4 linked regions of the Callithrix jacchus genome follow. The protein of the gene in region 1 interacts with the protein of each later gene in a pairwise test. Links are inferred from orthologs where the notes say so. Each region holds a gene or a part of one and is shown in the gene's direction. Other genes may lie near its edges. The genes, in order: HSPD1, TMCC2, LZTS2 and SAMD3.

What was found.
Region 2: the proteins of HSPD1 (region 1) and TMCC2 interact in a two-hybrid assay, tested with the Homo sapiens proteins (2 studies listed by BioGRID). The two-hybrid records come from large-scale screens. The link is inferred for Callithrix jacchus from reciprocal best matches to the Homo sapiens genes HSPD1 and TMCC2.
Region 3: the proteins of HSPD1 (region 1) and LZTS2 interact in binary tests that used the Homo sapiens proteins (3 or more experiments, as listed by UniProt). The two-hybrid records come from large-scale screens. The link is inferred for Callithrix jacchus from reciprocal best matches to the Homo sapiens genes HSPD1 and LZTS2.
Region 4: the proteins of HSPD1 (region 1) and SAMD3 interact in binary tests that used the Homo sapiens proteins (3 or more experiments, as listed by UniProt). The two-hybrid records come from large-scale screens. The link is inferred for Callithrix jacchus from reciprocal best matches to the Homo sapiens genes HSPD1 and SAMD3.

Annotation. Positions count from the first base shown.
Region 1 is NC_133507.1:118,454,324-118,461,459, reverse strand, and holds part of HSPD1 (60 kDa heat shock protein, mitochondrial), read left to right. Parts: exon of another isoform or gene 1-218; intron 219-307; 5' UTR 308-309; coding exon 310-483; intron 484-1,640; coding exon 1,641-1,893; intron 1,894-3,470; coding exon 3,471-3,553; intron 3,554-4,101; coding exon 4,102-4,197; intron 4,198-4,602; coding exon 4,603-4,696; intron 4,697-5,758; coding exon 5,759-5,927; intron 5,928-7,136. UniProt on the Homo sapiens protein: Chaperonin implicated in mitochondrial protein import and macromolecular assembly. Together with Hsp10, facilitates the correct folding of imported proteins.
Region 2 is NC_133520.1:32,733,346-32,740,481, forward strand, and holds part of TMCC2 (transmembrane and coiled-coil domains protein 2), read left to right. Parts: intron 1-2,200; coding exon 2,201-2,752; intron 2,753-7,136.
Region 3 is NC_133513.1:93,950,881-93,958,524, forward strand, and holds the start of LZTS2 (leucine zipper putative tumor suppressor 2), read left to right. Parts: upstream 1-3,011; 5' UTR 3,012-3,172; intron 3,173-4,208; exon of another isoform or gene 4,209-4,340; intron 4,341-4,508; exon of another isoform or gene 4,509-4,870; intron 4,871-5,723; exon of another isoform or gene 5,724-5,850; intron 5,851-7,644. UniProt on the Homo sapiens protein: Negative regulator of katanin-mediated microtubule severing and release from the centrosome. Required for central spindle formation and the completion of cytokinesis.
Region 4 is NC_133505.1:136,825,577-136,833,470, reverse strand, and holds the start of SAMD3 (sterile alpha motif domain-containing protein 3), read left to right. Parts: upstream 1-2,965; 5' UTR 2,966-3,327; coding exon 3,328-3,406; intron 3,407-4,053; coding exon 4,054-4,243; intron 4,244-7,894.

The DNA of each region.
Region 1 (7,136 bases):
AGTGGGTCTCTCCTCAAGGCCGTTTTCACAGTGAAAGATTAACTCGTTTTGGGCGGCAGGAATAGGGGAAGGAGCTGCGTGTGCTTTGTGCTAGTGCTATAGGTCAGGCTCCGGGGCGGCCTCTTTAGCTTGCGCTAGTGGCTGATGTTCGTAGCTGCGGCGCCTTCCGTAGTCCAGGCGTAGAAGCTGGCGGAGGTCAGCCAGGCTCAGCATCTCAGGTTGTTTTCTCTGTTGCACAGGTGGGCATGTTTGTGCAGCAGAGCACCACGGGTGGTAGTACTGATTATATATTTGCTTCCATCCCCAGAAATGCTTCGGTTACCCACCGTCTTTCGCCAGATGAGACCGGTTTCCAGGGTCCTGGCTCCTCATCTCACTCGGGCTTACGCCAAAGATGTAAAATTTGGTGCAGATGCCCGAGCCTTAATGCTTCAAGGTGTAGACCTTTTAGCCGATGCCGTAGCTGTTACAATGGGGCCAAAGGTATCCGTATATTTATTTATTTATTTTATTGTAATTACAGTATTAATAGCGTTTTACTCACAAACAGTCGCACTGAACTATTGAACAGTACTTTCGTATCTGTTTTTGAGATAAACCAGTTTACATGTAAGAGTTGTGAAGTATTGGTTAACCTTTCTTTTCTTAGACATGATCTTAAAGCTTAAAAGTGCTTCAGCCAGATTTTCAAAACTATTTTGTACAATGCGTGATGTAATCGGGTAGTAACTCATAGCTCAAGGTGGATTCCTAAACTCGAGGTAGAATTTTGCTTGCCTAAGTTAAAATTTGGATTTTTCCCCAGTAGTTCATGCCAAGTATAGAGGGAAGAGTTTATCTCCTTTAGTACCTCAGGTATGTGCTTGTAGGTGCTTTCGTTTGCTTGTTTGTTGTAGTAAAATGTACACAACAGAAAATCACCATTAAGTGTGCACTTTGGGGACATTAATTACATTTATGTGGTGCAATTATTGCCACTATCCATCTCCAAAACTTTTTTATGTTGGAAAATTGTAACTTTATGCTCATTAAACAGTAGCTTACCGTTCTCTCCTTCATCCCAAAATGCTAGTTTTACCTATCGGTTTTCTGCTGTTCTCTTGTTCCAAAGCATATTTAAAATCAGTCTCATTTAATAGGGTTAATATTTTGAGGAGGCCTTTAAAGTGGTGTGCAGTGAAGTGGTGTTCATTTCAGTCTGAAGACAGTTCAGATATTAAGTGATCCAAACAACTGCATAAAATATTTACACACCTCACAAATGGAAAGTAACAGCTTTAGTTCACATCCAAAAGGTGGCCAATAACTATTTGTGCCATGGTTGAGGTTTTATGTTGAGTGAACCTGGAAGAGCACACTACTTGCCTTGATGGTCACATTACTTTCAAAGATAACAGGCACTAACCAAAACTTAATCTCCTAAATTATCTAATTCGAAATTACGCTCTTGGCCGAGAAACAGATCATTTTGTCTGTTGACAAAGAATATTAATAAACGTGCCCTTGAGATTCATGCTGCAAGACTGGTAAAAACGTTGAGACTTTGAAGTAGTTGCTTCATTATGAAAACTGCTCATTTTTTGACATGTAAATAACCCTTAGAGTGTGTGTGATCCAGTAACTTTTTTTTTTTCTTCTAGGGAAGAACAGTGATTATTGAGCAAAGCTGGGGAAGTCCCAAAGTAACAAAAGATGGTGTGACTGTTGCAAAGTCAATTGACTTAAAGGATAAATATAAAAATATTGGAGCTAAACTTGTTCAAGATGTTGCCAATAACACAAATGAAGAGGCTGGGGATGGCACTACCACGGCTACTGTACTGGCACGCTCTATTGCCAAGGAAGGCTTCGAGAAGATTAGCAAAGGTGCTAATCCAGTGGAAATCAGGAGAGGTAGGAATGTTTGTTGTCACTACAGTGTTCTAAACTTCAGTATACTTTAAGGCATTAATTCCTTGAACCTAAGGAAAGTGTTTGTTACTGTAGGAAATTGATCCTTCTCTCATTCCTCCTCTTGGCCTAGAGAAATCTTAAAGTGGGTTTTCCTTTAGTAAGTAGTGATTGAATGCCAGACTGTGTGGTGGGTGCTGTTAGGTAATTTTGATGTTTTACTTAGTTGATTTCTTTTGTTTTTAGGGACAGAGTCCAAGCCAGACCACAGTGGCACAGTCATGGTTCACTGTAACCTTGAACTCAAGCAATCCTCCTGCCTCGGCCTCCAAGTAGCCGAGACTGTGGGCATTCACCACCATTCCTGGCTAATTTTTAGTTTAGTTTTGTAGAAAGTAAGACTAGACTGAATCAGAAAGTAATGTTTTCCACAATTTATTTTTTCTTAGCACAAACTGTGTTATTGGTTTGTTAGTGCTTGTAACTGGAGTGTAACTTAATTTGCTCCTCACCATGAGCTTCATGGCAGTATGAAGCTGATAAATTTTAGTCCCATCTTTTGTCATTTATTAGCTGTGTGCTAAGACTTGGTTTTCCTATCACCAGAATTGCTATATGTATATCTAGAGTATGTTAGGGTTCAAACCTGGAACCCTCTTGAGAGTCATGGGGGTGGTGCTATTGATAATTTTTTTGTCATAATTGACATACTGATGTATTACTACATTACTAATATATCATTACCTTATCTATTTCAGTGTTTATGGGTCAAGTGAATACACTGCACTTAAGCAGTTTTACTGTAAATCACTAACATATTAAGATTAAGAGGACTTCCCAACACCTTGCATTGGATTTTTTTTTAAGTATATCTCTCAAACAGGAGAGCTAGCACTATTCCCAGTTAAGCAAAATGAGACTTAAAAAACTAATGTATAACAAATATTTTGTTAGTTCATAATACATACTAAATTAAGTGAAAGAATTTCAAATAATTGACACCTGTAGAGACATAGTCACAACAAATTCCTATCATTTAAGAACTATACTTGTTGAAAGTAAGGGAGTGTTACCCATTTTGGTCCTTTTTTTGCATCATCTGACAGACATGAAAAGTGTCAGGGACGGGCAGCATGATTGGGTTAGAAATGATTTGCATAGGATGAGTTCAGTGGAGAGACTCTTGGAACTGTACACATCTGCCTTGTTTTAGTCCAAGCATAGATACATGCCTGTAAGTACCAGCTACATGGGAAGCTGAGGTGGGAGGATCGCTTGAGCCCAGGATTTCAAGACCAGCTTGGGCAACATAGTGAGACCTAATCTACAAAAATAAAATAAGCTGAGCATGGTGCCTTGAGCCTATGGTCTCAGCTACTCCCTCGAGCCCAGGATGTCAAGGCTGCAGTGAGCCATGATCTGTGCTACTACACTCCAGCCTGGGCGACAGAGCAAGTGCCTGTCTCAAAAAAAATTTTTTTTTAAGTCATTAAAATATTTGTTATGAATCTCAAGATTTCTACTTGACATAGAAGCCCTGAGAGAAATAAGCATTGTAATGACATACATTGTTGAACTAGGTGTGATGTTAGCTGTTGATGCTGTAATTGCCGAACTTAAAAAGCAGTCTAAACCTGTGACCACCCCCGAAGAAATTGCACAGGTAAGGACTTAATATGTTACACTTTTTTTAAAAAAATTTATGGCATGTGTGTTTTTTTTTTCTCGATCACACCAATGTCAGAATAACAGTATTACCTAATCGTCAGTATTAGACTCATTTTTTCTTACTGCTAAAACATTTGAAAAGAATTTTGACCATAATGATTGTCATTTAGTTCTATGTGTAGCTGTCATTTTACTTCTATGTGTAGTTGTCATTTTAGTTCTACATGGCTGTAAAATGGATTAGTATGATTGTGAAAATGTTCTTAGCCATTGTCAAAGGTGCATAAGTTTTGTCAGTTAGTAGTATCAGATTTGCCATGTAAAAAGATACATATTGTTAAAAGAATAGTTTTATATATCATGTTTCTCAAAACAGTGTAGTTAATGAATCAAAAAAGAGAAAGAACTAGTACTTCATGAAAACTACCATATCGTAAATTTTCTCCCTGGAATGTAAGTGTCAGTTTGGAAGTTACTGGGAAAAGATGAGGGAACTGACTGAGGGCACTAGCCTTACCTTTTAATTCAACTTGACTATTTCAGGTTGCTACAATTTCTGCAAATGGAGACAAAGAAATTGGGAATATCATCTCTGATGCAATGAAAAAGGTTGGAAGAAAGGGTGTCATCACAGTAAAGGCAAGTGTGTTTGTGTTTTTAAAAATAGTTTGAATGAGTTATCTGATGATCAAAACTGAATTTTCCAAGTAGAAAAATTTTATGTGTTTTAAATACTGTGTGGTTTCATTTCTTTATATGTGGTCTCAGCACATGTATAGAACAAAGTGCTTACTGTGTTTTACGTGAATTAGCCTTTGCTTTGTGAAATGAATCCATCCTAACTTAAATATTGTCTAGCCATAAGAATTATTTAAATAAGCACTTTTGGGATTTTTGCAGAAGTGAAATTGGATATCCTGGGTTTTTTCATACTCTAGCCTATATTCCTAATGACCAAAGGGGTCTATTTTTGTTAATCTGGCCTGTAATTTCATGTTTTGTGTTCATTGAAATCCGTATACCTAATTCTTTGTCTTTTCATAGGATGGAAAAACACTTAATGATGAATTAGAAATTATTGAAGGCATGAAGTTTGATCGAGGCTATATTTCTCCATACTTTATTAATACATCAAAAGGTAAAAACAAATCTTTTAGACAGAGTCTTATTCTCTGTTGCCCAGTCTGGAGTGCAGTGTTGTGACCTTGACTTACTGCAACCTCCACCTCCTGGGTTCAAGTGATTCTTGGGCCTCAGCCTCCAAAACAGCTGGGATCTAAGCATGTGCCACCATGCCCGGCTAATTTTTTAATTTAATTTAATTTTTATTTTTCCTTAATTTATTTCTTCATTTTGAGGCAGAGTCTCACTGTCACCCAGGCTGGAGTATAGTGATGCAATGTTGGCTCATCACAACCTCTACCTCCCGGATTCAAGCAATTCTCCTTGCTTAGCCTCCCAAGTAGCTGGAATTATAGGCAGGTGCCACCATGCTCAGCTAATTTTTGTATTTTTAGTAGAGATGGGGTTTCACCACGTTGGCCAGGCTGGTCTCTCTAGCTCCTGACTTTAGACAATATGCTCACCTCAGCCTCCCAAAGTGCTGGGATTACAGGCATGAGCTACCGTGCCCGGCTACTTTTTGTATTTTTAATAGAGATAAGGTTTAGCCATGTTGGCCAGACTAGTCTTGAATGCCTGGCCTCAAGTGATCTCCCTGTTTTACCCTCCTAAAATTTTTTAAACGTACTTTCCTAACGTGTGTCAAACTATGGATGTTAGTTGGTGTCATCCTCTAAAAAAATAAATGTGTGTATTCCAGAGATAGAGTCTTGTTCTGTTGCCAGGCGCCAGGCTGGAGTGCAGTGGCACAATCTCAGCTCACCGCAGTCTCTGCCTCCTGGGTTCAGGCAGTTCTCCTGCCCCAGCCTCACGAGTAGCTGGGACTACAGGCGTGAGTCACCACGCCCAGCTAATTTTTGTATTTTTTGGTAGAGGCAGGGTTTCACCATGTAGGCCAGGATGGTCTCTTAACTTTGTGATCCACCCGCCTCAGCCTCCCAAAGTGCTGGGATTACAGGCATGAGCCACCGCACCCAGCCTGGTCACTTTTTAAGTGTGTTGGAACCTTGGTTTAGCTTTTCATTTAAATACATTGTATTCATTTTGTGTATTTTTGAAATCTTCATTATTTTTACAGGTCAGAAATGTGAATTCCAGGATGCCTATGTTCTGTTGAGTGAAAAGAAAATTTCTAGTGTCCAGTCGATTGTACCTGCTCTTGAAATTGCCAATGCTCACCGTAAGCCTTTGGTCATAATCGCTGAAGACGTTGATGGAGAAGCTCTAAGTACACTTGTCTTGAATAGGTAATAGGCAGTGGTATTTGATGATTTATATTTCTGGATGAAAGAATTATTTGTATTGCTGTTTGCAGTCTCCATTATGTGTACCTCCACATATGATCTACTTGGGTTTTTATCTAGAATTGTATTTGTATAAATCAGATATGCTCTGTGTATCTTCATATTTGTGTTTTTGAATGGGACTCCCCAGTCTTTACTATTTTGTTCAGCTTTCTCATAGAATAGACTAATTTAGCCCATGGGTACCTTTCTTTATTTTGCAAGTGTTTACAGTTATTTTGAAGGTATGTAACTGAATCTTGTTTTTTTTGTTTTTTGTTTTTTTTTTTGAGACAGTCTCACTCTGTCGCTCAGGCTGGAGTGCAGTGGCTCAATCTCGGCTCAAGCCTCCTGGGTTCAAGTTTGAATCTTGTTTTGTTTTTAAGGTTTTTCTGGTTAAAAATATATACATTTTCAGAATATTATTTTGGCTGGAACAGGGAAGTAAACAGGTAACATTCTAAACAACTCAGTTGGGCCAGGTGGGTGGCTCACCAGAGATCAGACGAGATCAGCCTGGCTAACATAGTGAAACCCCGTCTCTACTAAAAATACAAATAGTAACACGGCATGGTGGCCCAAGCCTGTAATCCCAGCTACTCACGGGCTGAGGCAGGAGAATCACTTGAACCCAGGAGGCGGAGGTTGCAGAGAGCTGATACTGTACCTCTGTCTCTAAATAAATAACTCAGATGTAAGTGTATTTCGCTATCAAATATTTTTATTTATTTTGAGGGACAGACTGTCACCCAGGCTGGGGTATGGTGGCACGATCATAGCTCCCTGCAGCCTTGAACTCCTGGGGTCAAGCATTCTTCCTGCCTCAGCCTCCCAAGTAGCTGGGACTACACTTGCATGACCACACTTGGCTGATTTTTAAATTTTTCTGCAGAGACAAGGTCTCAGTATGTTGCCTAGGCTAGTCTTAAACTATTGGTGAATCTTAAGTGATTCTCCACCTCAGCCTCCCAAAGTGCTGGGATTACAGGCATGAGCCACTACCCCTGGCTGTGATCAAGCGTTTGTTCTTCCTTATCTGAAAATTGAAGTACTTCAGAAGCAAGACTTTTCTCTCTGCTTTGCTATAGTAGAAATGCACACATAGCAGGTATATTTTAGACATTATACATGTTGATCTGACCCAAAAGCTCTTAATGAGCCTCCTTACCCTGG
Region 2 (7,136 bases), on another chromosome or scaffold:
AGGGAAGAGGGAGGTGTCCTGGCATGTCCCTGGTTTGGAGGCTGCAGGATCTGGCCCATTCCAAGTCCATGGCAGAGTTGACATCTTGGTTCTCTCCGGCACAGATTCAAGTGAGCCCTGTGCCCCTGCCTCAAGCGGGCCCAGAGGGGATGGTAACTCCTGTGGGAAACCCTGGCATTGTGTAACCTAACATCTCCAGGGCTGCCCCAGAGTTCAGTTCTCAAGAAGGAATAATGATAACCTTAATTTCCTCATCTCTAAATGGAGATGTTACAATTGTTGCTTTTGTTACTATTTAGGAAAGTCAAATGGGATAATGCAGGATACAAAGCTCCTTTAAAATGAAAAATCATTAGTTCATGGTGAATTGTGATTATGTAATTTATCTGGTCTGTAAAATGGGTGATGTAAGGGCCTCTCCTACTTTGAGAATTCTGGGGCTGCTCAGATGAGGTGAAAAATGAAAATCCTAAAATTTTAGACAACTATATGATAGTATAGTTATTTGTATCCAGCTATAAGTGCAGCCATCTGTACAAAATCAAGGCTGAGTTGCATAGTAACCTAAGAGTGGGGCCAGCTAATTCAGAAGCTATAAGGTTGCTTTTCCTTGGTTCCTATATGGTCTAGATTTTCTGCTCTATAAGTTTATTTCAAGGGGGAGAAGAAACAGCAAATCCAGTCTGTGTAATTTTTTGGAACATTTTTTAAATGACTTAGGCTGCCTGGTAGGATTGTGGGTTGTTCCTCACAGGAAATCCTGCTATGGCTCATTAAGTCCCAAATGGCTGAGTTCTGAGTTTTCCTCTAAGGAGCTGCAGAGTGTGAGGTGTCTCCTGGTCCTCCAAGTCTCATTCCTCCTCCCAATGGCTCCAAAGCTCTCATAGAGGGCTCAGCCTGGCCAGATAAGCCATCCCCTGACAGAAGCAGCTGTCTGGAATTATACCACAGTTGCTTGTCCTGGCAGGCCGTCCAGCTGTCTCTTTGTGAGCAGTCTTGCCGGAAAAGCAGCTGGAGAATCTCAGTGGCAGGGCTAAGAGGAAAGGCTGTGGCCCGGGCAGCACTGGGTTGCCCGGCCTCTGTGCTTTGGGTTTAAGGGGAAAGACACTCATTTGGATAGCTTGTTCTGATGTGTGTGCTAAAGAATTGGTCATATTACTGACTATGTCACAAGGTTTGCTCAAAGAAGTAAAGTTTATTTCATTGCCAACTATATCAGGAATGAAATTGGCTGCAAATAACAGAAAATCATACTAGAGTTGTGTAGACAAAGATAGGTTTATTTCATGCAACAAGAATCCCAGGATAGGTGTTCACAACTGGTTTGGTGGCTCCACAGACTTTCAAGTTCCCAGGCCTGTCCCTTGGGCTCCACCATCTGTGTGCAGGCCTTCATTGTCAATCATGTTACCTTGTGGCTGCAGAATGGCCGCTGCATCTCCAGACACTACATTCCCATTCCAGATGGGAAGATGTAGTAGGAAGGGCCAGTGCCTTTATCAGGAAACCAGAAGTGTTCCCAGAAACTCTCACCTTGCTTTTCATTGGCCCAAACTGTTGTCATGTGACTATTCCTAGCTGCAAGGGAGTCTGACGAAGTAGGAATTTTTAGCAAGGTGCATTAAGTCCTTGCAGTTTGGTTGGTAAGAAAGAAAGAGAAATAGATATTGGGTAGGCAATTAGCAGTGTCTGCTACAACAATATAACCTGATTGTATGACCCTGATTCTCTTAGGGGAGTGTTGGAATTAGGGATCTTTGGAAATTGATGTTTGGTGGCCTGAAAGAGCTAGTACAGCTTGAAGGGATGCCTAGCCTGGAAGGAGGGAAGGACCGGGAGCAGGGGGATCAATCTAGAGGGATACAACCCCATCAGCAAAGTGCTTTGTGTGCCACTAGCCCCAGACTGAAGCCCTGAGAACATCATTCATAGAAACTCACAACCCACACTTTGATTGGGAATGTCTGGTGGAAAACCATGGGGGCACATCTCTTTGGGAATGAAAGGATGGGTCTGGGTTGCTACCTTTTCTCAAACTGACCTTTTAGGCATGACAGGCCATCCATGGGGATCTTCCAGGTTCAGATGGCTGCATTAGCTATGCCAGTCTACCAAGGATAGACCCTTCACCTTCACCCCCAACTGACTGGGCAATCAAGAGCTTTCCACTCACCAGCGTTCTTCATCTCTCCCCTTTAAGAAAATCCAGCAGCTGTCAGAGGGCTCCATGTTTGGCCACGGTCTGAAGCACCTGTTCCACAGCCGCCGCCGGTCTCGGGAAAGGGAGCACCAGACATCTCAGGATTCCCAGCAGCAGCAGCAGCAGCAGCAGCAGCAGCAGGGCATGTCCGACCATGACTCCCCAGATGAGAAGGAGCGCTCTCCGGAGATGCACCGTGTCTCCTATGCCATGTCCCTGCACGATCTGCCTGCCCGGCCCACTGCCTTCAACCGCGTGCTGCAGCAGATCCGCTCCCGGCCCTCCATCAAGCGGGGTGCCAGCCTGCACAGCAGCAGTGGGGGCAGCAGCAGCGGGAGCAGCAGCCGGCGCACAAAGAGTAGCTCCCTGGAGCCCCAGCGTGGCAGCCCTCACCTGCTGCGCAAGGCCCCCCAGGACAGCAGTCTAGCCGCCATCCTGCACCAGCACCAGTGCCGTCCCCGCTCTTCCTCCACCACTGACACTGCTCTGCTGCTGGCCGACGGCAGCAACGTGTACCTGCTGGCTGAGGAAGCCGAAGGCATCGGGGACAAGGTGAGGTGGGCCTTCAGGGGTAAGGGGAGGCTGTCTGCTGAGGGGCCTGGAGACCTGGGGAGCTGAGCTGGGGCCCTGCCTGGCAGATATGACACCCTGCTGCCTACAGAGTTGTCTGCCTTGGTTAAAGGAGTCAGGTATGACTAGAATGATTCCCCGAATGGCTAATTTTTGTTTCTTTAGGGCTTTGTTTTTCAAAATTGCATTTTGCTCATACTGATATTAATGTTGACTTGTTTTCCTTAAATGTGCTATCAAGAGGCATTAGGTATAGTAGTTCAATACACAGACTGGAACCAACCCTGTGTCTGCTGCTCACTAAGTTAACCTTTTTGTGCCTGTTTGACTAATTGAAAATGGGGATAATAAGGCTGGACGCGGTGGCTCACGCCTGTAATCCCAGCACTTTGGGAGGCCAAGGTGGGTGGATCACTAGGTCAAGAGATCAAGACCATCCTGGTCAACATGGTGAAACCCCGTCTCTACTAAAAATACAAAAAATTAGCTGGGCATGGTGGTGCGTGCCTATAATTCCAGCTACTCAGGAGGCTGAGGCAGGAGAATTGCCTGAACCCAGGAGGCGAAGGTTGTGGTGAGCCGAGATCGCACCATTGCACTCCAGCCTGGGTAACAAGAGCAAAACTCTGTCTCAAAAAAAAAAGAAAATGGGGATAATAATAGGACAGTTATAAGACTAAATGAGTTAATATATGTAAAATACTTGGAATAGAGCCTGGTGTAGTATCATTTTTGCTATTTTCACCAACCAAAGAAGACAGGGAGTCCATGAAGGGTGATTTGGGAAGGAGAAAAGCTAGTTTGGCACTTCATGATTTATATATTTGTTCTTTTATTCATGCAAGAAGTATCTATTGAATCTTTGCTTTGTGCTACAAGAATGAACAAGCCAGTGTTGCCATCTTGTGGAGCTCACTCTAGAGGGGGACGAGTGGGTGAATGGACAGAGATGAGAGCTGCTGTGGGAGCTTCAAGGGAGAGGGGACTTGAGGAGGGAGCAGGTAGCTAGCAGAGACCTGCTGGAGGAAACGAAACTGTTGAGCTGAATAATTTAGCCAGGGAAGAACTGGGAGAGGGGTAGGGGGAAGGGAGGGCATAGTATGTACAAAAGCACTCAATCAGGTGCTGTGGGCTACTAGAGGTTCATTGTAGCCAGAGCATCTAGCACTTTTGGGGTTTGACAGGTAGGCAGAGGCCACATCACAAAAGGCCTTGCCATGTTGAGTCTGGGAGTAGTGTGAAGCTATCAAAGGGTGCTAGGCAGGAAACTGGCAGGATGAGATCCCTCTGGATCCCAATATAAAGAGTAGATTGGGGCCAGGCGTGGTGGTTCACACCTGTAATCCCAGCACTTTGGGAGGCAGGTGGATCACTTTGAGGTCAGGAGTTCGAGATCACCCTGGCCAACATGGTAAAACCCCGTCTCTACTAAAAGTACGAAAATTAGCCAGGCGTGGTGGTGGGTGCCTGTACTCCCAGCTACTTGGGAGGCTGAGGCAGGAGAATCGCTTGAACCCGGGAGGCAGAGGTTGCAGTGAGTCAAGATCGCGCCACTGCACTCTAGCCTGGGAGACAGAGTGAGACTCGTCTCAAAAAAAAAAAAAGTAGATTGGGAAGGGATCACAGGACTGGAGTCAAGGAGGTTTTAGAGCTAGTGCAGTAGTCTAGGCTGCAGCAGTGTGGATGGAAAGAAGGCACCATGTGCAGAAAATGTTTGAGAGTGAAAGTCAGAGGTAGTGGGTGAGAAACAAAATAGGAGACAGAGGAAAGGGAGGTGTCGAGGATGATTCTAAGGTTATAGGCTTAGTGGCTTTAGAAATGGGGAATTCTCTAGTTAAGGAATCACAGGGCATGTTTTGTGGGAAGGGTGATGAGTTCAGTTTTGGACCTGTTGAGTTGCAAGTGCCTTTGGGAGCTGTCCAACTAGGGAGGACCAGATGGCAGTTGGGTCTGTGGAGTAGGGGCCTGGGCCAGGGCCAGTGCTCTGGGAGCTGGCACTGAGGTTGAAATCATGGGTGTGAGTGAGATCTTCAAAGGAGGATGTGTTGAATGAGAAGGAGGCCATGGACAGATCCAACTGACATGTAAGTGACAGGCCAAGCACCAGGAGCCTGAGAGAGAGGAGTCAGATGTGTGGAAGTGAACTTGCAGCAGAGCAAAAGGAAAAGGAGCTTGAAGGAGGAGGAAGTAATCAGAGTGAAATGCATAGAAGGAGCAGGTCACATCTGGGTTTGGAAATGTGCACAGGCAGTAGCAAGCAGTGGCTGCCATTGGGAACCGTGACTGAAGCCAGTTTCAGTGGATTAAGGAGACGGTGGAAGTGGAGTCAGGTGTGTAGCTTGGCTGTAAAGAGGGAGGACATCAGGTGGAGGCAGTCTGGTTTTTGTTGGCTTTTTTAAGTTGGGAAGCGCCTGAGTACACTTCCATGTGGCTGGAGAGGGCCCTATTAGGGAGAGATCAAAGATAGCAGTGAGGAAGGGGAATTCTCATTGGGGTGATGTCAGTGAGTAGGTGAGAGGGTGTGAGATCCAGAATTCAGCATCATTCTCGGTCACAAAGAGTCACCTCTGTCAGGCAGAAATGAATTCTTACTTTGTTTTTATTTTCTATGGAGGAAGAAAGCAAAGGTACAAACAACTGTTTATTGAGAGTAGTGGGGGAGGTGGAAGGACTGGCTGGAGGAGGGCAGTAAAGGTTTTGGCTTGGGGCAGAGCAAGGCTCTGAGCAGGAACTCACGGGTGACCTGTCTGGTGTTGTAGAGGCTTGTAATTTGTGCTGGCAGCAGCCTAGCAGTTGTGATTTATTTTCTCTCTAGTGGTCCTAGCCATAGGGTAGGAACACAGCTGCAGGATTATCAGGCTAATCCAGGGTTGGGGGTTGCTGGGAGGGCATGTTGAAAGGTCAAGGGTGACAACGGAGTTGGGGGGGTCAGAGAATGCTCAAAGGGTTGGACCTTGAAACCTTGGCTGGTAGAGAAGGAGGTGGGGATAGGAGAAGGCTGAATGTGGAGAAAAGGAGATGAGGGTACTGAGGGAGTGGGGGAGCAGGTGCATTAAGAATAAAGAGGAGTGAGAGAGACAGGAGAGGACATGGGAGTGTACGACTTGGGGGTGGGATGGGGAAGACAAAGGGCAGAATATACTCATAGAGCATGGCAGACAAGGAATGAATGGAAAGATAATTTGCAGTGGGGAGAGCTGAGAGGTTAGGTTGTGGGATGAGCTGTCCATATGACCTGGAGATGCCCCCCAGGGCAGTGGTCAGGAAGGAGGGCAGCAGGTGGCTTTGATGACTGGAGGCTGGGGAAAAAGAGTGGAATGGCAGGGACCTCCAAGGAGGCTGGGCTGAAGCAACACTGAGTGCAGTCGAATGCAGGTCCCATCTCCACATGGCCGAAATGAGGGAGAAAGAGCAAGAAAAGGTCACTGCGATGAATGAGGGTTCCAGAGCAGGTGGAGCTGCAGTAAAAGCCCGGAGGCAGCTTGTTTGTTGTGGAAGGAAGAATCTGGAAGGGCCAGTGGGAGGGCAGATGAAAGAGAAGATGGCTCAAGTGGAAGTGAGAGTAGGAGACATGATGAAGACCAAACAGTTCTACATTTGGGGGATGTGAGGCCTTGTGGGTTTTCCAGCATCAAAGTTCCAAGGGAAACTCTGGTGTAAAGCTCTTTTTACCTTAAATGATCACCAGAGCAGACCTGTCTCCACACACGATTTTAAATTGTCTTCTCGTCAACACAGACTGTTTCTCAAGTTTTTGTGCATGTTGACATTTGAAAATGTTTGGATGTTCATTCATTCAACAGGCATTTGTGTGTATGCCTTGTGCCCGGCACTGTATAGCAGCTCAGGTTTGGTCTTTCACTTTTCCAGCATAGAAAGTGCTTTTGTAGACATTGTTTCATGAATTCATTAAAGCCATCCTGTGAGATAGCTAAGCCAGGTGATGATATCCCAATTTTTTTTTCTTTTGAGACGGAGTCTTGCTCTGTCATCCATCTCGGCTCACTGCAACCTCCACCTCCTGGGTTCAAGCTATTCTCGTGCCTCAGCCTTCCGAGTAGCTGGGATTACAGGTGCCCACCACCTTGTTCAGCTAATATTTATATTTTTAGTAGAGATGGGGTTTCGCCATGTTGGCCAGGCTGGTCTCAAACTCCTGACCTCAGGTGGTCCAGCTTCCTCAGCCTCCCAAAGTGCTGTGAACCAGGTGTGAGCAGAGCATCTGGTTCAGAAGCTGTTGAACTACTCTGGGGGTGGAGCAGAGTAGCTGGATTCTGGATTGGCTTCAAAGATCAAGTCACAAAGGTTTCTGATGATTTTATATGGGCATGACAGAAAGGGAGGAGTTAAATGTGGCTCACAGATT
Region 3 (7,644 bases), on another chromosome or scaffold:
AGCCTGGGCAGCAGAGCAAGACTCTGTCTCCAGAAAAAAAAAAAAAAAGGAAAAGAAAATAGAAATTCGATAGCATGCTGGCAGGGTATTGTGGATAAGTGGTCTGAAAAGGTGTCTCTGAGCTGAGGGCATGTGAGCTGGGGCCTAAACAACTAGAAGGAGAGAGCCACATGAACATCCAGAGAAGGGGATCCAGGAGAGGGAAAGGAAATAGCAAGCGCTGAGGTAGGAATGAGCAGGTCAGAACCCAGGCAGTGAGGTCAGGCCCCCTGAACCTGGGAGGCATAGGCGACTTCATGCAAAAACCCCAGCCCAGGCTTTAAGAGCCTAAGGGTAATATGGTGGGTCCCAAGCCCCTCTGCTCCCCACTTTGTAGAGCCTGGCACGAGGTAGCAATGACTAGAATCGGATTCTAGGTGCTTAGCCTGCAATATCAGGGCTTCATGGGGTGGTGGGGGGGAGCTGCCACCCGCTGGGTTGCTTGGCCATAGAGCCGTAGAAGGAAGCTGTCAGCCCACAGTGCCTGCCACCTACATACTGATGCCATTGTGTGCTGCCTCAGACACCTGGAGTTAGGACGTTTTGTAGAGCCTTTTCCAGTTTTACTAAAATATTTTTTCATTGCCTCTGTTTCTGTGCTTTTTCTTATTCATCCACCAGGTGTCTCCCCAGTCCGTAGCTGAATTTCCCTCTCAGGACTGGGAATAAATGGGTTCCCTCCCACTGCTTGCAGCCTTTGAGCGGTGGGCTTCCGAGGAAGCAGGGACATTAAGGGGCCTTCACACCCCACCTCCCCTTTCCATCTCTTCTTGGCCTAGGGAAAGCAAGATGGTCTGTCCTCATGCCTAACTTCCCTGAGGATCTTGAGTGACTCCTGCACAGGTGCTCATTCCTGGGCCACATGCCCGGGCCCTCCCTGACTGGCCATTCCTCTGTGATGTGAGCCACTCACCTCCCTAGTGGACTTAGACTCAACATATTCTCTCTACCCCCCTCCATCTCCCGTACCCTCTCCTTGATTCTTTTACGTTCATGTGTGCCAGAACTCCTGGAGATCTGTGAAAAATGTAGAACCTGGGCCCCATTCTCCCATCCTCCACCACATACATTTGTCATTCTGGAAATTTGAGGAGGGATACAGTAATCCTCATATCTAGCAAGCCCTGGAGGAGACTGTAAAATAAGTGATCCAGAGGCACTGTCAGAAATATGCCTAAATGATGACACCTTCTCATCTCTCGTCCTCTGATATCCAGAAGTCCCAGTTTCCCTTTGGATTTGCCTGAAAGAGTCGTGAGAATGCAAGATGTTCTGAGAGGGCTGGGGAGAATCCTTTTGTAAGGTTTGGGGGAAGGTTTCTTGCTCCCTTTGGAAGCAGGGCTGCCTTGTGAAGGTCTTCCTTTCAACCTAAGAAGGGGCTTCTGGGACTGGTGGAGGGGTCTGTGGTCTCTGGAGTGAGAACTGTGGCCACAAATGTCTCCTGAAACATGGGGAGCAAGGCTGCTGGAAAGCTGCTGTCTGTGAGGAAGAACCTGTGGGTTGGGAGAGCTCCTCTAGGGCCTCCCTTCTTGGGGGTCTCTCCCAGACTGGCTGGAGCCAGGCCTCCCTAATCCCACAGTAATCATTCCCAGCCGTTGGCTGTTCTAGGCCTCATCCAGAGCCTGTACTATTGAACAGCAGCCCAGCCATGTCTTCCAGAGGCACAATACCAGATGTGTCCTACCTGGGAAGATGTGGGTTCCACATTCCTGTCTCCTTGGAATGCCTGGTGGGTTCTCAGGAGATCCTTTAGAAGTTTTCAGTAGGGGACCTTTGTTAGGTCTCTGTGAACTGGGAATAGAGGGATAGATACAGACTTGCCTGTTTGTCTTGCCCCACCCTTCTAGTATACACCCCCACACAGCACAAACCAGAATGATGGGGAGGGGAAGCCAATAACCCCCCAGCCCCACTGCCTGCACAGACACATTCTACTCCATGCCTGCCTTAAACACCCCATGTCATGATCAGGCCTAGTCTATTCAGATCCCTGGATTCTAGAAAGCAGTGCGGTGTCCCTAGGGCCTATGCAGATTTCCTGGGACAGGACTGGTCTGCCTACAGCCAACTGGATGGTAAGAATCTCCCTGACTCGCAGGTTCGGTGGATTGGGAAGAAAAAAACATTTCAAAAAAATCTCCCTGAGAATTCAGGAAAGGCCTGGCTGAGTCAGGTTCAGTTGCATCTGCAGCCCTGTCCTGTGATGGACAGTGTGTGTCATACTTGGCTGTGAGGGGTCAGCTTTGGTCCTCCAGCAGCTTATTCTCTGCAGTGGATGGATTTCAGAAGCCACAACTCACCGAGGTCTCCTGCAGCTCATATGGCCCAAGTACCTGTAGACCTACCCACATGCTGCCTTGAGTGACATGGTGGGAGGGAGCCCTTGGGGCCTCCTTGCAATACAGGCCAACTTCCTGTTTGTGCCTGTGGGTGGGACTTTATGAGTCTAAAAGAAGCCCAGCCATGCCCCCTGGGAGGTCAAAACCGGCAGGCCTGCTCACCTGGGCAGACACCTACTCCAGGGAGGGGGCTGTGCTGGTTCTGCTTGGGCGGCCCCAAGTGAGGTGTGTGCATGGTGGGGGTAGGTGGGAGCTGCTCTGGTGAAACTCAAGTCTTCTTTGTGTGCTTCCCAGGGGTTTTCCTTGTACTTGGGTATTGGGCCCAGAGTGGACTGGTTGGGCTCCCAACCGAGCAGGGGGGAGAGTGGCGGAGTCAGGCTCTATAGGCAGCTTAGTTAAGGCAGCCAGGTAGCAGAATTCTCGGTCACGTGATGATCGCCCCTTTTCCCCAGGTGGAAAACCAAGTCCGGTAAGCTGTGAAGTCAGAGGCCAGAGAGGCATCCTCCGCCACTGTCTAGCCACTGTTGGGCTGGGCACTGGGTCGGCTGTTGGTGGGGTGCGGGGCAGACCACTCCCCTCCCCGGGTGGGGGGCGCGGCCTGAGCCGCCCTGCCCCGCCCCGCTCTGCTCCACCAGGTCCTGCCAGGCGGGCGCCGGGAGCCGGGAGCCGGGAGCCCGGAGCCCGGAGCCCAGAGTTCGGAGCGAGCTAGGGAGCCGGCGTTGTCGCAGCGAGGAGGCGAGCGCGTTGGAGCAGGAGCGGCGCCGGAGCTGTAGCCGAGGCGCAGCTGGCGCTGGGTGAGTGGTGGGCGGCGGAGGTGCAGGAACTCCCGCCTCCTGCACATCCCCGCTCCAGAGCGAACTTTCCGCTTCTGGAGAAGCTGGGGGTGGGGATGAGGAGTGGGGTCGGGCGCAGGCGAAGAGTCAGAACAGGGAAGCGACACGGAAACGCATGCCAACGGGTCCCCACACACGCGTGCACAGACCCACGCCCGCACTTGGGACATGCGAATACACAAGCACTCGGAAAGGACGCGCCCAGTTGGCTACCCTTGCACTCCCAGGGACAGCGCCAGCCGGCGCGCGCGTACCCCCAGCGGCCAGGACACTCTGCGGTCGCGTATTGGGTGGGGGAAAGGGGCAGCCCCGTGCCCGCAATGGAGGCGGGCCGGGTGGGACGCACCCAGAGGTTCCTGCTTCCTGGCCGCCCGCAGGTGAAGACCAAGACGTAAACAGGCGTGGCGCACGTGATCGCTCCGCAGATCAGTGGCCAGTGCTCCCAACCCCACCACGGGGCGGGGACCCCAACCCCAGTCCCGGGCGCGTTTGCCTGGTCCCAGGCCGGACGGCGTTCCATTCTCCGCCTGGAGCCGGGATAAACCCTCTCCCAGGCACCGGAGCACAGCGCCCCCTGGAGCCGGGGCGGAGCAGGAGGGCCGGGCTGCTGGGCAGGGCCGGGGTAACTCGGGCTCCTGGACGTCCTTCTTCCCAGCACATTCTTGGTGTCTACATCCCGGAAAGTTTCGGAGACAGGCCCTTGATGACAGTGGACAGCTGCCCCCGCCTATTAACCCCAGCCCAGAGAGCAGCTGTCTGAGCGCCTGAGGGTCCCCTTCCTACCCTCACTTCCACTCTTTGTGGGATTCCGAGTCTCCTCCCCCGAGAAAATTCATGAGTGTAAACGCCCCCTCAATACTGGAGTGGGCCTACCCCCCTAGCAAAAGGAGGGCGAGCTCCTCCCCCCAGGGAATGAGGGAGTGGGCAGTAGCTTGATTCCTTTTCCCCGCCCCACCCCCCCACCCCTACACACACACGCTGAGCCCAGCTGCTGCCTGAGATGGGCAGGCTGCCAGAAAGAGGAGGAGGCTCTCTGTGCCCCAGGAGGCAGGGATCAGGGCAAGGCCAGAGGAGGGGGCTTTGCTGGGGAGAGGGGCTCAGTCTGTTCTTGTGAGGCTGAGGGTCTGGGGTGAGTCTGAGGGTGGCTGGGCTGTGTTTCCCTTTCCAGGGAAAAAGAAAGAAAAACAACCCTATCCATAGAGCTAAAAATAGAGCTGAGAGCGGGCCAGGGCTGTGGCCTGGAAGGGGGGGATGCTCCTTCCTGGGGCCCGGACGAGCTCTGGCAGGCCTTGGCCCTGGGGGGGAGGGAGTCCTTAGGGGAGAAAGGCTGTCTTTGCCCAGGGATGCAGGCATCAGCTGACCTGACCGGGTCACCGAGACCCTTAAGGGAAAGGCTGTGCTATAGGATATTTGTGAAGCACGGCGTGTGTGTAAGAAGTTGTCCGTGTGAGTGAATGTCAATAGAGGCTGTCAATGTGTGAAAGATGGCCAGGAGACTAAGTGCATTTGAGACTGTGACTGGGTGCGAAGGACTGCGAATTGTGGAAGCCTCTCCACAACAGGCCTGTGACACCGTGTCTGTGTGTGACATGGACTGGAAGATTATGGAAAGAAGGAACGCGGTCCCACGTGACAGCTGAGACTGCTTGTGGCTGCGTGGTGAGGCTGCCTATGGGAAAGGTCGTGTGGGTGTTAGGGACTGTGTTGTGCGCGAGAAGGTGAAAATGTCTGCGATCCTGAGAAAGTGGAATGTTGTTTGCCGTGAGGCTGGTGTAGGTTTGGGCTGTAGGCTGGAACCGGCTCGCCCAGTGATATTGGGGAGCCAGGACTGCCCCTCTCTGAGAAATGGCCTCTCTTTTTAAAAAGTGATCCCAAGGGGAGGCCGGCCTGGGTTCGCGGGGGAAAGGACACCGTGCCGGGGAGTGGGACAGGGCCAGTGTGGTGGGGGGAGGCTGAGTGTGTTCTTCGAGTCGGCCGCCAGGTGGCGCCGCCTCCGCGAAGCCCAGGTTGCCGCCTGCAACCCGCCGCGGGTGGGGCAGGCGCGGACCGAGCTTTGGCCACCGTCTCACGCTAGGGCGCGGGGCCCCCGGACCGGAGAGTGGGGGGCGGCCGGCCCTCGGCCTCCTGCTTGGGACCCTGAGGCTGAGAGCGTGTCAGGGAATTTTCGCCTGGAGAAGCCGAGGGGGAGGGGCGGCCGCCGCCGCCTCGCCGGGGCTCTTTGTGCTGTAACAATGACCAGCTGCCGCCGGCCCCCGGGCCCGGGCTGGGGCGGAGGGTGACCGCCGCCGCCGAGCCGAGCCAAGTCCCCGGACACGCAGTCACAGGGCGTCGGAAGGAGGGCTCCCGACTGCCGCCGAGCAGCCCCTACGTGCGCCCCGGCGGACTCGCGTGACGCGGGTGCCGGAGCGTGTCCGCGGCCCGGGGCGGGGACGGCCCTCGGACCCTCCCTTGCGCAGCGCCGCCCACTCGCACTGGGCGGGGGCTGGCCTGGGCCGGGGGGCGCCGCGGAGGCGGAGGCGGGGCCGGCCCGGGCCGCTCGGAGTGGCGGCGCGCGGGCCGGGATCGGGGCCGGAGCCGGGCGGCGCGCCTGTGGAGCGCTGGGGGCGGCCTGGGGCTGAGCATGGAGCAGCGCGGCGGAGGTGAGGGGGGGCCGGGGCTGGGAGGCGGCCTGGGGCGCCCCCAACTTCTGCGCGGTGGAGTCCAGCGGGGAGAGGGCATTGCCCAGCCGCCCCCACTTTCTTGAAGCGGGTCTGGCCCCTGGAGAATGGGTTGGGGGCTCCCCGCTTCCCGCCGCGGAGCGGGAACTCGTGATCGCAGACTTGACCCCGCTTGACTGGTTCTTGGAGTTTGGGTGGGAGGGAGACTTTGCCCAACTCTTCAGACCCCTCGCCGGCCCTGGACGAGCTCCAGCCCTCCGCTCCCCACAGCCCGCTAAAAGGGGGATGCTCCTGGGTCAGAGTGATTGCTTAGGGAGTGCTGAGGAGAATGAGGGGTTCCCATCTCCCACAGCCACAAACGCATTTCTCAAAATGGAGCCGCCACTTGCCCCTCCTTCTCTCTCGGGCTCCAAGAGCGGGAGCCGGGCCGGCTGGGCCTGGCTTTCCAGACTCCTGGCTCTGGCTCCCTGGGTGTGTGGCTCTCAGGGCCCAGCTCTGTGGCACTTTGGACTTAGGGGCCCTCGGCTCCATGGGGTTGGGGGGCCCTGGCTCACTGGGTCTGCCTGGCTTTCTCCTTGTCAGCCTGACCCTCGGGCCTCTCCGAGTCTTTGTCTCTTTTGGGTTCCTGTCTTTCTCTGAGTCTGTCTCCTTCCTTCAGTTTTCACTTTCTCCCTGCTCGATGAAGTGGGGAAATACAGCAGAGGTGCCAGCCCCCTGGGCCCCCTAAGTCCCTTCCCCACTGTTCTTTCCATACCCTGGAGTGGACCCAGAGACGGGAGGGGAGGGGAAGGGGTTCTCTATCTGCTCTGCTCGGGGCTGAGACCGGTGGGGTGGTCTGAGCTGCAGCCCTGCATAGAGGCCTGTGATTGCTCCCTGGGCCTGGCTCACCCCTCCCCCAGCTCCCCACAGCTCTGGCCCCAGCCTGAACACCTCTTCCTGGTTCGCAGTGTCTTTTGACTTGGGTGGGAAGGAGGGCAGTGGATTTAATGGAGCGCATACGAGAAAGAAGGGGAACAGATCAGGCAAAGGAGTTAATGTCCCACCTCTCCCCACATGCCAGAGGGGGAAGGAAAGAGGCTCCCTTCACCAGCTGGTCCTCAAGCCACCCAGGCTCCCACCACTCTGGTACCTACCTGCCCACATTTACAGGCTCACCTGCACACCCTGGTGCACTCACCTTTCTAGTCACACACTCAAACACTTAGGAGCTCACACATAAACTCATATGCTGACGCATCTGTCCAGGCACCGTCTCATCCACACACCACAAATTCACATTTATAACTTTCACAGGCTTTCTAAGAATGACCCCTTACCCATGTACTTTTGTAAGATATACACATGTGAATTCACACGGGAACTCGTGTGTGAATGTGCTGATAACATCAAACATGCATAGACTCACATTCATATTTTCACACACATTTTCGTATATACACATGGTGTTCATTTCCATGCTCCTGTGCATGTAGTCACACAACAAATAACTAAATGCACACACTCCTACTCCCAGTGCAATTCTCTGTCCACTTCTTGGCCCCGCTCTGCATGATGACTTCAGCAGATGCCTAAGTCCTGGTCATCAGTGGCCTCAGGACTGGGAGTAGGGAGGGGGTTCCGGGTGGAGGCTCACATCTGCTTCCTGGAAGGAGCAGGGCCTGGGGAGGTGGAGCCCTCTTGCCTGGGCTCCCTGGAAGTGAGGCTTTGGAGCAGCCGACAAAGGTGAAGGCGGGGCATCTACCTTCCTCCCCTCAGGGTTTCTCTGGGGACCTTCTA
Region 4 (7,894 bases), on another chromosome or scaffold:
CCCCCTTGTTCTGGTGTGGGAAATTGGAATTCAATCTGTGATGTGGGAAGCATTTCTACCAGAACTCTCACTCTGCTGAGAGTTTCCCCTTTTATTCCTTTTGGCCCGATAAATTCCGTTTTCTCAACCTTCAAAGTGTCTGCGAGCCTAGAGCTAATATTTCATGACCGTGTGACAAAGAACCCAGCTCCTAGCTGAACTAAGGAGAGAGTTGTACAACGCTATTGCCTCCAGTGGTAGCAAGGCTGCTACCCAAAAGAATTGCCAGACATTGTTGTATGTGACAGCCACATACTTCTTATTATTATTATTATTGAGACAGACTGTCTCTCTGTTGTTCAGGCCGGAGTGCAGTGGCACGATCTCACCTCACTGCAACCTCCACCTCCTGGGTTCAAGAGATTCCCTGCCTCAGCCTCCTAAGTAGCTGGGTTTACAGGCACCTATCACACCGCCCGGCTAATTTTTTGTATTTTTAGTAGAGACAGGGTTCAGCATCTCGGCCAGGCTGGTCTTGAACTACAGACCTCATGATCCACCCACCTCGGCCTCCCAAAGTGCTAGATTACAGGTGTGAGCCACAGTACCCAACCCCTTATTTTTGTACCTCAATTTTCCTTCTTTTTTTTACCAACAGGAACTGATATTTGATCAGTGGTTTGTCCCTTCAAGTTCAGCCATGGTAGGAGATACTTTTTCTCAGGGCAGAATGAGATATTGATCCAGGAGAGGGCGTATGCTGCCAGCAAAACTTTTAGGAATCTTTTGTTGTCCCAGCTTTTGGACTTCAGAAGACAAAACTAAAAATGAAAATAGAAAGAAAGATGACAAAAAGGGTTCATGTTTTCCTTAAAAGTACTCTTTTGTGGTTGATGTTTTTATATGTTTTATATGATGTTTTATGCATTAGATTGCCCCCTGAAGATGATAAATCACGTTCACAGCAGGTGGCCCTATTATCTTCCTTTGTAATTTTAACAGATTTGTTAAATAAAGCTTGCCCATATTTAGGCTGCTTTAGCTAAAGTCTTACCTCTTCTTGGCTTTAGTTAGATGAAGCCCTTTAATACTTAATACATATTTTTTTCTTGTTTTACAATTCAATCAAATAATAAGAATGGTTTAGCAGGAGCATTCATACATAATATTATTATTAATTCTTCCTAAACATTATTGTGTCTTCAACTATTTAGGGATAATGCTTACCTTCACATTTTGAAATACTTTCAGATGTTTCTGGAGCTCAGAATAAAGCTACCAGATATATCTTTTCTCATCTGATATATAATTTGTGCCTTCATGGTTTAGAAGATCATAAATAATATATCCATTATTTATGTGAGAAGAAGTTGTACCATTACTCCTCAAAGATGTTACATTGTCTAGCTAGTGATATTGTTTCATTACCTCTCCAGAAAAGCTAATAGGCAAAAACTATATGCTTTTTTATTTTATTATGTTTGTATGAGGTTATAATTTAACCTGTTTTGTTTTTCCCGGAAGTAGAATTGTAGTAAGAATCCGCAAATTAAAAAATACGTGATCATTTCCAAGTACTCTTTTTTTTTTTCAAATTTCCTTTTATCCATCTATGGCTACAAGGTAGTATCTTCTGCTCTGCATACCTTTTAATCTTAGAGTTCAGAGAATTGTTTTACTTTTTCTTTATTTTCTATTTTTTCCCTAAGACCTACTCTTCACAAGGAAGCCAGAAGTGTGACAGAAAGGTGTGATTTTTAATTTACACCAGAGTCTTGCAAATAATGACTTTTCACACCCTGCTATTGCTGCTTAGCCTAGGGGAGGAGTTCTATGGCTACTGTTTGTCATAACAAATTAAATCCACTGCTGAAATGCAGAAAGATGTTCTTCTATATTTAACCCTTGTTTTCGATTTTTCAACTTGGTGTTTGTGAATACTTATGAGTATGAGGCTTATTTGAAGTCAAACTGTTTTCTAGGAAATGATTCTTGAAGATTATCTTTTCAGCTTGTTACATATGCAAGGTAAACGTTTTTCCCCTTTTCTACTATTCTAACTATGATGTTGGTAATTGTAACCTATTTAAATACACAAAAATGAAAAATGCAATAATAGTTCTTTTTAGAACTTCCATCAATAAAATTTAAATACATGATTAATAAGTATTTTTATCTTTCCTTATGATTCCATTTCTCCATAAGTAGCTTTTTCCTTGGTCTATATAGAATAGTCAATATCTTAATGTACAAGTGAATCTATATCATTTAGATTGTAATTTGAAATTGCCATGTAATGTTAAAAGGCTAAATGTTTTAAATTTATTTCAGTTTCTCCCTCCACCCACCCATCCTACCCCACCCTCCCACACCCCTCCCCTCACCACACCCACCTCCAAATCCATCACAAGTCCTTTGGATTGGAATTACAAAATCAAGGAATAAGCTTCCTTAGGGAAATAGTTTTAAGTTTTCTTAGTGGTTGGAGACAAGTGGCATGCAAAAATAAGTGAAACAGTTGAAGATTATATCTTGCACACTTTGCATATGCTTCTTTCACAATAATTATTAACATATTTAATTATTTTCCAATTTGAATCTGCCCAATTAAGTACAAGGTTTTCAATCTATGTGGTAGTTTATCCTAGTTATCTTACCAATCATAACAGTGTCCAATAAAGTTCTAGAACTCAGAGGGATATGTACGAGTATTATTGGAAGGAAGGACAGAAACATTCAGATTCTCCTGAGGAATTTGGGTCCTACTTTCTCCTCTTGCTAAACCAAAACGACGAGAAACAGTAAGTTACAACCTCCTTCTCCTAGCTAGGAGAAGCAAGGGGTTAACCAGTCTTGGTTTACTAAGTATTTCTGTCAGGCTTTTATCTGATCCTTCCTCCCTTCCTCCCCTGCCCACCCCTTCTGTAAATGTCAACCACTTCCTGAGGAGCCTAGTAGTGGTGAATTTCACACCTTTCTTTTCTTTGTGAAGAAACCTGGGTGTTAATGGTACAGGATTGGGTACCACTGTATGGCTCTGGCTGGCTGTTAGTAAAGCTTCGGGATGCCTATGGGAAAAAAGTAGGAGAAGGTGAAGAAATTTAAGAAATGAGATACTAGAAAATAGGTTAAATAGGGTCTTATATTTAAAATGAGAGTGTTTTCTTAGCAGTTTTTAAATGTGCATTGTAAAAATAGTAATCTTTTAAAAGCTTAACATTGAGAGTCTAAAGGAATCTAGCAAAGGAAGGGGCTGATTGTTAAAAAAAAAATTAAGGCAGGGTCAGAAAGAAAAGCTGGAGTATTCTCTGACCTTTTGCTCTACAGGTGTATTTACAGGAGACAGCCATGGAAACCTGGTCAGTTGAGCAGGTCTGCAGTTGGTTGGTGGAGAAAAATTTAGGAGAGCTAGTTCAGAGGTTTCAAGGTGAGTTGTTTATACTTTCCAAAAATTTTAATTGATCAGCCTAGATCTTCTGATGTCCTCTGTTGTTGAAATTACTTTTGTTGACAGATGTCTGTGTGCATGTAAATGTGGATGTGGAGTTGCTGCAGCAGAGAATTTTTCATTTCTTCATGGACTGTAGCGGAGTTTCTATTTGAAAGTAATGTCCACAGGAGAATATAATATGTCAAGAACTCAAATAAAGCCTTAAGGGTTACTTAAAATACGTATTTGATATATGCATTTAATATTGCTTTTGTTCTTTAATACAGTGTGTATTTTTTGTAGTATTGGGTTTACAAGGTTGCATATTGGCTAGGAGCTATTATGAAGAATAATTTCCTAAGATTAAACAATGCCTGTTAGAGAGAACTAGAATGGAGAGGGTGTTAATGTGGAAATTATAAGTTTTTATTGTGATTCCATGTTCTGGCACTTTCTTAGGAGCAGGTATTGATTTGGAATTATGCAACATCAGAGTTCTATCTTTGTCAAAAATATGGATAAATTTATAATGGCAGGGGACAAGTTTAGACGATCCTTTTATCACTGGAGATAATTTTGCTTCTTCAGAATGCCTGTGTTTTGCCAGAAAGTCATGTAGAAACTTTTTTTTTTCTTTTTCCCAGAGGAAGAAGTAAGTGGGGCCGCTCTCCTTGCACTTAATGATCGGATGGTTCAGCAACTGGTAAAGAAAATTGGGCATCAAGCTGTTCTGATGGATTTAATTAAAAAATACAAGAGGAACACTCAAGGACTGAAGTCCCCTGAAAGTCCCAAAGAGGCAGCCCTGGTCATGCAAACAGAAGCAGCCCGAGAGTGAGTATATTCATAAATGGCCTTATTTTTTTCCCCAAGCTTTCCCAATGATGGCTAGAGCATGACATCTGGGGTTTAAAGCCCTGTGAAAACTGTGACTATTTTCAGCTGGATTGTATGTACAGTATTTCTAATATCTGAGCAAAGGACACTGTAAAATTTTAGGAATCAAGAAACCTTTTTTGTTTCACCACTTTTTAAACACTGGTTCCAATCATTAGGGAAGTCCTATAGACCGAGGGGTCTACATAAAATGTTGTGGAACAAGCAGGCGAAATAGACATGTAACACAAGGAGAAAGGGGCTCCTGCGGCTCTGGTTTCTCTGGTTTTAAAATCAGCTTTTGGGGAAGGCATCTTGACTGCTCCTTTGCTTTTCCCAAAACTATTTATTAATCTATTATTTTCCAAGGATTTCTTAGAGTAACAAATTTATACTCTCCTCTGGATACCTTTACGATATAATTTGCTAAACACTTTATTGCCACATGAGTTTTCTAATTTTTTAAGGATATCCTTAGAATAGTGAGCACCATGGAACACCCCAAAAAATCATGTCGAAAAATTAGCGGTGGCCAATAAAAAGTCTGAAGTTTGGGAATGGTTTTGTTTGTTTTTTAATCACTGACTTCTGCAATGGAAAGAAAGGAAAACAGGATGTACAAGACTGAAAATTTCATTTTACATATCCATTTATGCCCCGGGATCATTTTGGCCATTCTGATTTAATTTTCCTATTTTCAAGATTTTTTGAAAGGTTTCCAAGATTAAATATTTGCTGTGAAACTATGAATAAATTTTAAAGATTGTGATGATTAATAAAGTCTATTCTCTGTTTTTACTTTGATTTTTTTGAGATTAGATAGGTAATAATAGAGATTTCTCTGTTTCTCTTTGATAAGTAATATAATGGTAGAGATCTGACATAATCAACTTTATTTCTAGAATATTTTAAAATTTGGGACATGGAGGGGAACAGGTAGCCTTGAAAGGATGGTATATAGAGCCAGACTGGAAATTCTACTAATTGACTAAAAAAAAAAATTTTCATTTTTTTTGGTTTTTATAGAGATAGGTCTCAGTCTGTTCCCCAGGCTGGAGTGCTGTGGCAGGATCATAGCTCACTGCAGCTTCAAATTCCTGGGCTCAAGCAGTTCTCCTGTTTCTGCCTCCCAAGTACTTGGGATTATAGGCACTCAACACCACACCTGTCTAATTTATAAGAAATGGTTTTCTCACTGTGTTACCCAGGCTGGTCTCCAACTCCTCGCCTCAAGCCATCCTCCTGCCTCAGCCTCCTAAAGTGCCTGGATTACAGGCAAGAGCTGCTTCATCCGATCCCTAACTGATTTATTTGAAGGACTTCTAAACATTGTTTTGGCTTATCTATGTAAAAGAGCACACTCTTGAACATGTAACTATTAATGGAGTTCCCATTGCAAGCTTTTACTCCTTCCCCAAGGAAGGGTGGGAAACTGAAAGAGAGATCAGAGTTATTTCCTTGCATTTTGGGATGAGTAGGACTTTGGAGCTGGAAGTTCCCTTCCATTGACTGGAATCTTGATATTTCTAAGGCAATATATGGATGTGTAAAATGAAATATTTAAAATCTTTCTTTCTTTTAGAAGAAAACAGGCAGTCTTGTTTCCACTGCAAATCAATTTATAATGTTCTCAACTAAAAGAGAACTGGCTGGGGTGCCAGAAAACCTGGGCTTCATTCCTGGTTCTACTACTGACTTGTATTGATTATTTTAAATGTTGGCATTCCTGTTTCTGCATCTGTGCATTGTGAAAAGTAATATGGTACTTAACTCCTGTTTAATTCACACTGATGTTAGGAGTATCACAATCTTTGAGCAGATTTGTCCTTTTTCTCCCAGACTGAAATAGTCCTGTGTTAAACTTGGTTAACCTGGTTAAGAAAGCTAGTTTCAAATGTGGCCAGAACGGGGACCATAGTTTGTCTGGGGATTTATGAGTGGAGACTTTTCACTCTATCCATAAGCAGCTGACTCACTTAGGGATTTGGGTTGTCTTGTATTTAGATTATTCTAATGCAGAATTACAATTGCATGTGAGAAGAAAAATATATCAGTTTATATTTTATATGAAATGCTTGTTGGTTATATTTGCTTATTGTCAAATATATTTATTAATTATGTTGTCACTTGACAATCATCAAGTGGGAATGACAGTAGAAAGAGGCATGAGAATACACGGTTTAATTAAACCCTTTTAGAGAGTGTTTAATAAAGGAAACTTGGTGTACAAAAGAACCCTGAAGCTAGGTATTAAAACAGCTGATTTCAACCCCCTATTGTGATATTAGCTCCTCATCTGGCCTTGGAGATTTGTCTGATCCCTTTTAGTTTTTGCTTCTTCAACTGTAAAATGAAGTGGGTAGAATAAATGATACTTTAGGTTCGTTCTAAGGAGTCTGTGATGGCATTCTAGATCAGAGCTAGCAGATAGGTTTCCATTTGAGTGCAGATTCCCTTTAATGGCTAGTGGTTGCCTGTGTGAACTCAAAAGTACCTGAGACGGGTATTAATCAATTTAGAAAGTCTATTTTGCCAAGGTTAAGGATGCACCCATGACATAGCTTCAGGAGGCACTGATGACATGTGCCCAATGCAGTCAGTACAGCTTGCTTTTATACATTTTAGGGAGATGTAAGAAAGACATCAATAAGTGTAAGATTTAGATTGGTTTGAACCGGAAGGGCAGGACAACTTAAAACTGGGGCTCAGGAGGCTGAGGCAGGAGAACTGCTTGAGCCCAGGAGGCGGAGGTTGTGGTGAGCCAAGATTGTGCTGTTGCACTCCAGCCTGGGCAACAATAGCAAACTTCCATCTCAAAAAAATAAAAAATAAAAAAATAAAAGCTGGGACTTCCAAGTAACAGGTAGATTTAAAATTTTTCTGATTGGTAGCTGGGCACAGTGGCTCATGCCCGTAATCCCACCACTTTGGGAGGTTGAGACGGGCAGATCAGTTGAGATCAGGAGTTCAAGACCAGCCTGACCAACTTGGTGAAACCCTGTCTCTACTAAAAGTACAAAAATTAACTGGACATGGTGGTAGGTGCCTGTAATTCAGGCTACTCAGGAGACTGAGGCAGGAGAATTGCTTGAACCTGGAAGCCAGAGGTTGCAGTGAGCCAACATTGCGCCACTGCTCTACAGCCTAGGCAACAGAGTGAGACTCTGTCTTAAAAAAAAATTCTGATTGGCAGTTGATTGGAAGAGTTACTATCAATAGAAAGGAATGTCTGGGTTATGATAAGGGGTTGTGTAGATGAAGGTTTTATCATGCAGATGAAGCCTCCAGGTAACAGGCTTCAGAGAGACTAGACCATAAATGTTTCTTATCAGACTTAAGGTCTGTGTCGATGTTAATGCCAGTTAGCTTTTCCTGAATTCTAAAAGGGAGGAGGGTATAATGAGGCATGTTCAACCTTCCCTTTCCATCATGGCCTGAACTTGTTTTTCAGGTTGATTTTGGAATACCTTTAGCTGAGAGGAGGAGTCCATTCAGATGGCTGGGGGGGCCTTAGAATTTTACTTTTGGTTTACACCCAGCATGTTTTCTTTTCTTTCTTTTCTTTTCTTTTTTTTTTTTTTTTTTTTTTTTGATGGAGTTTCACTCTTG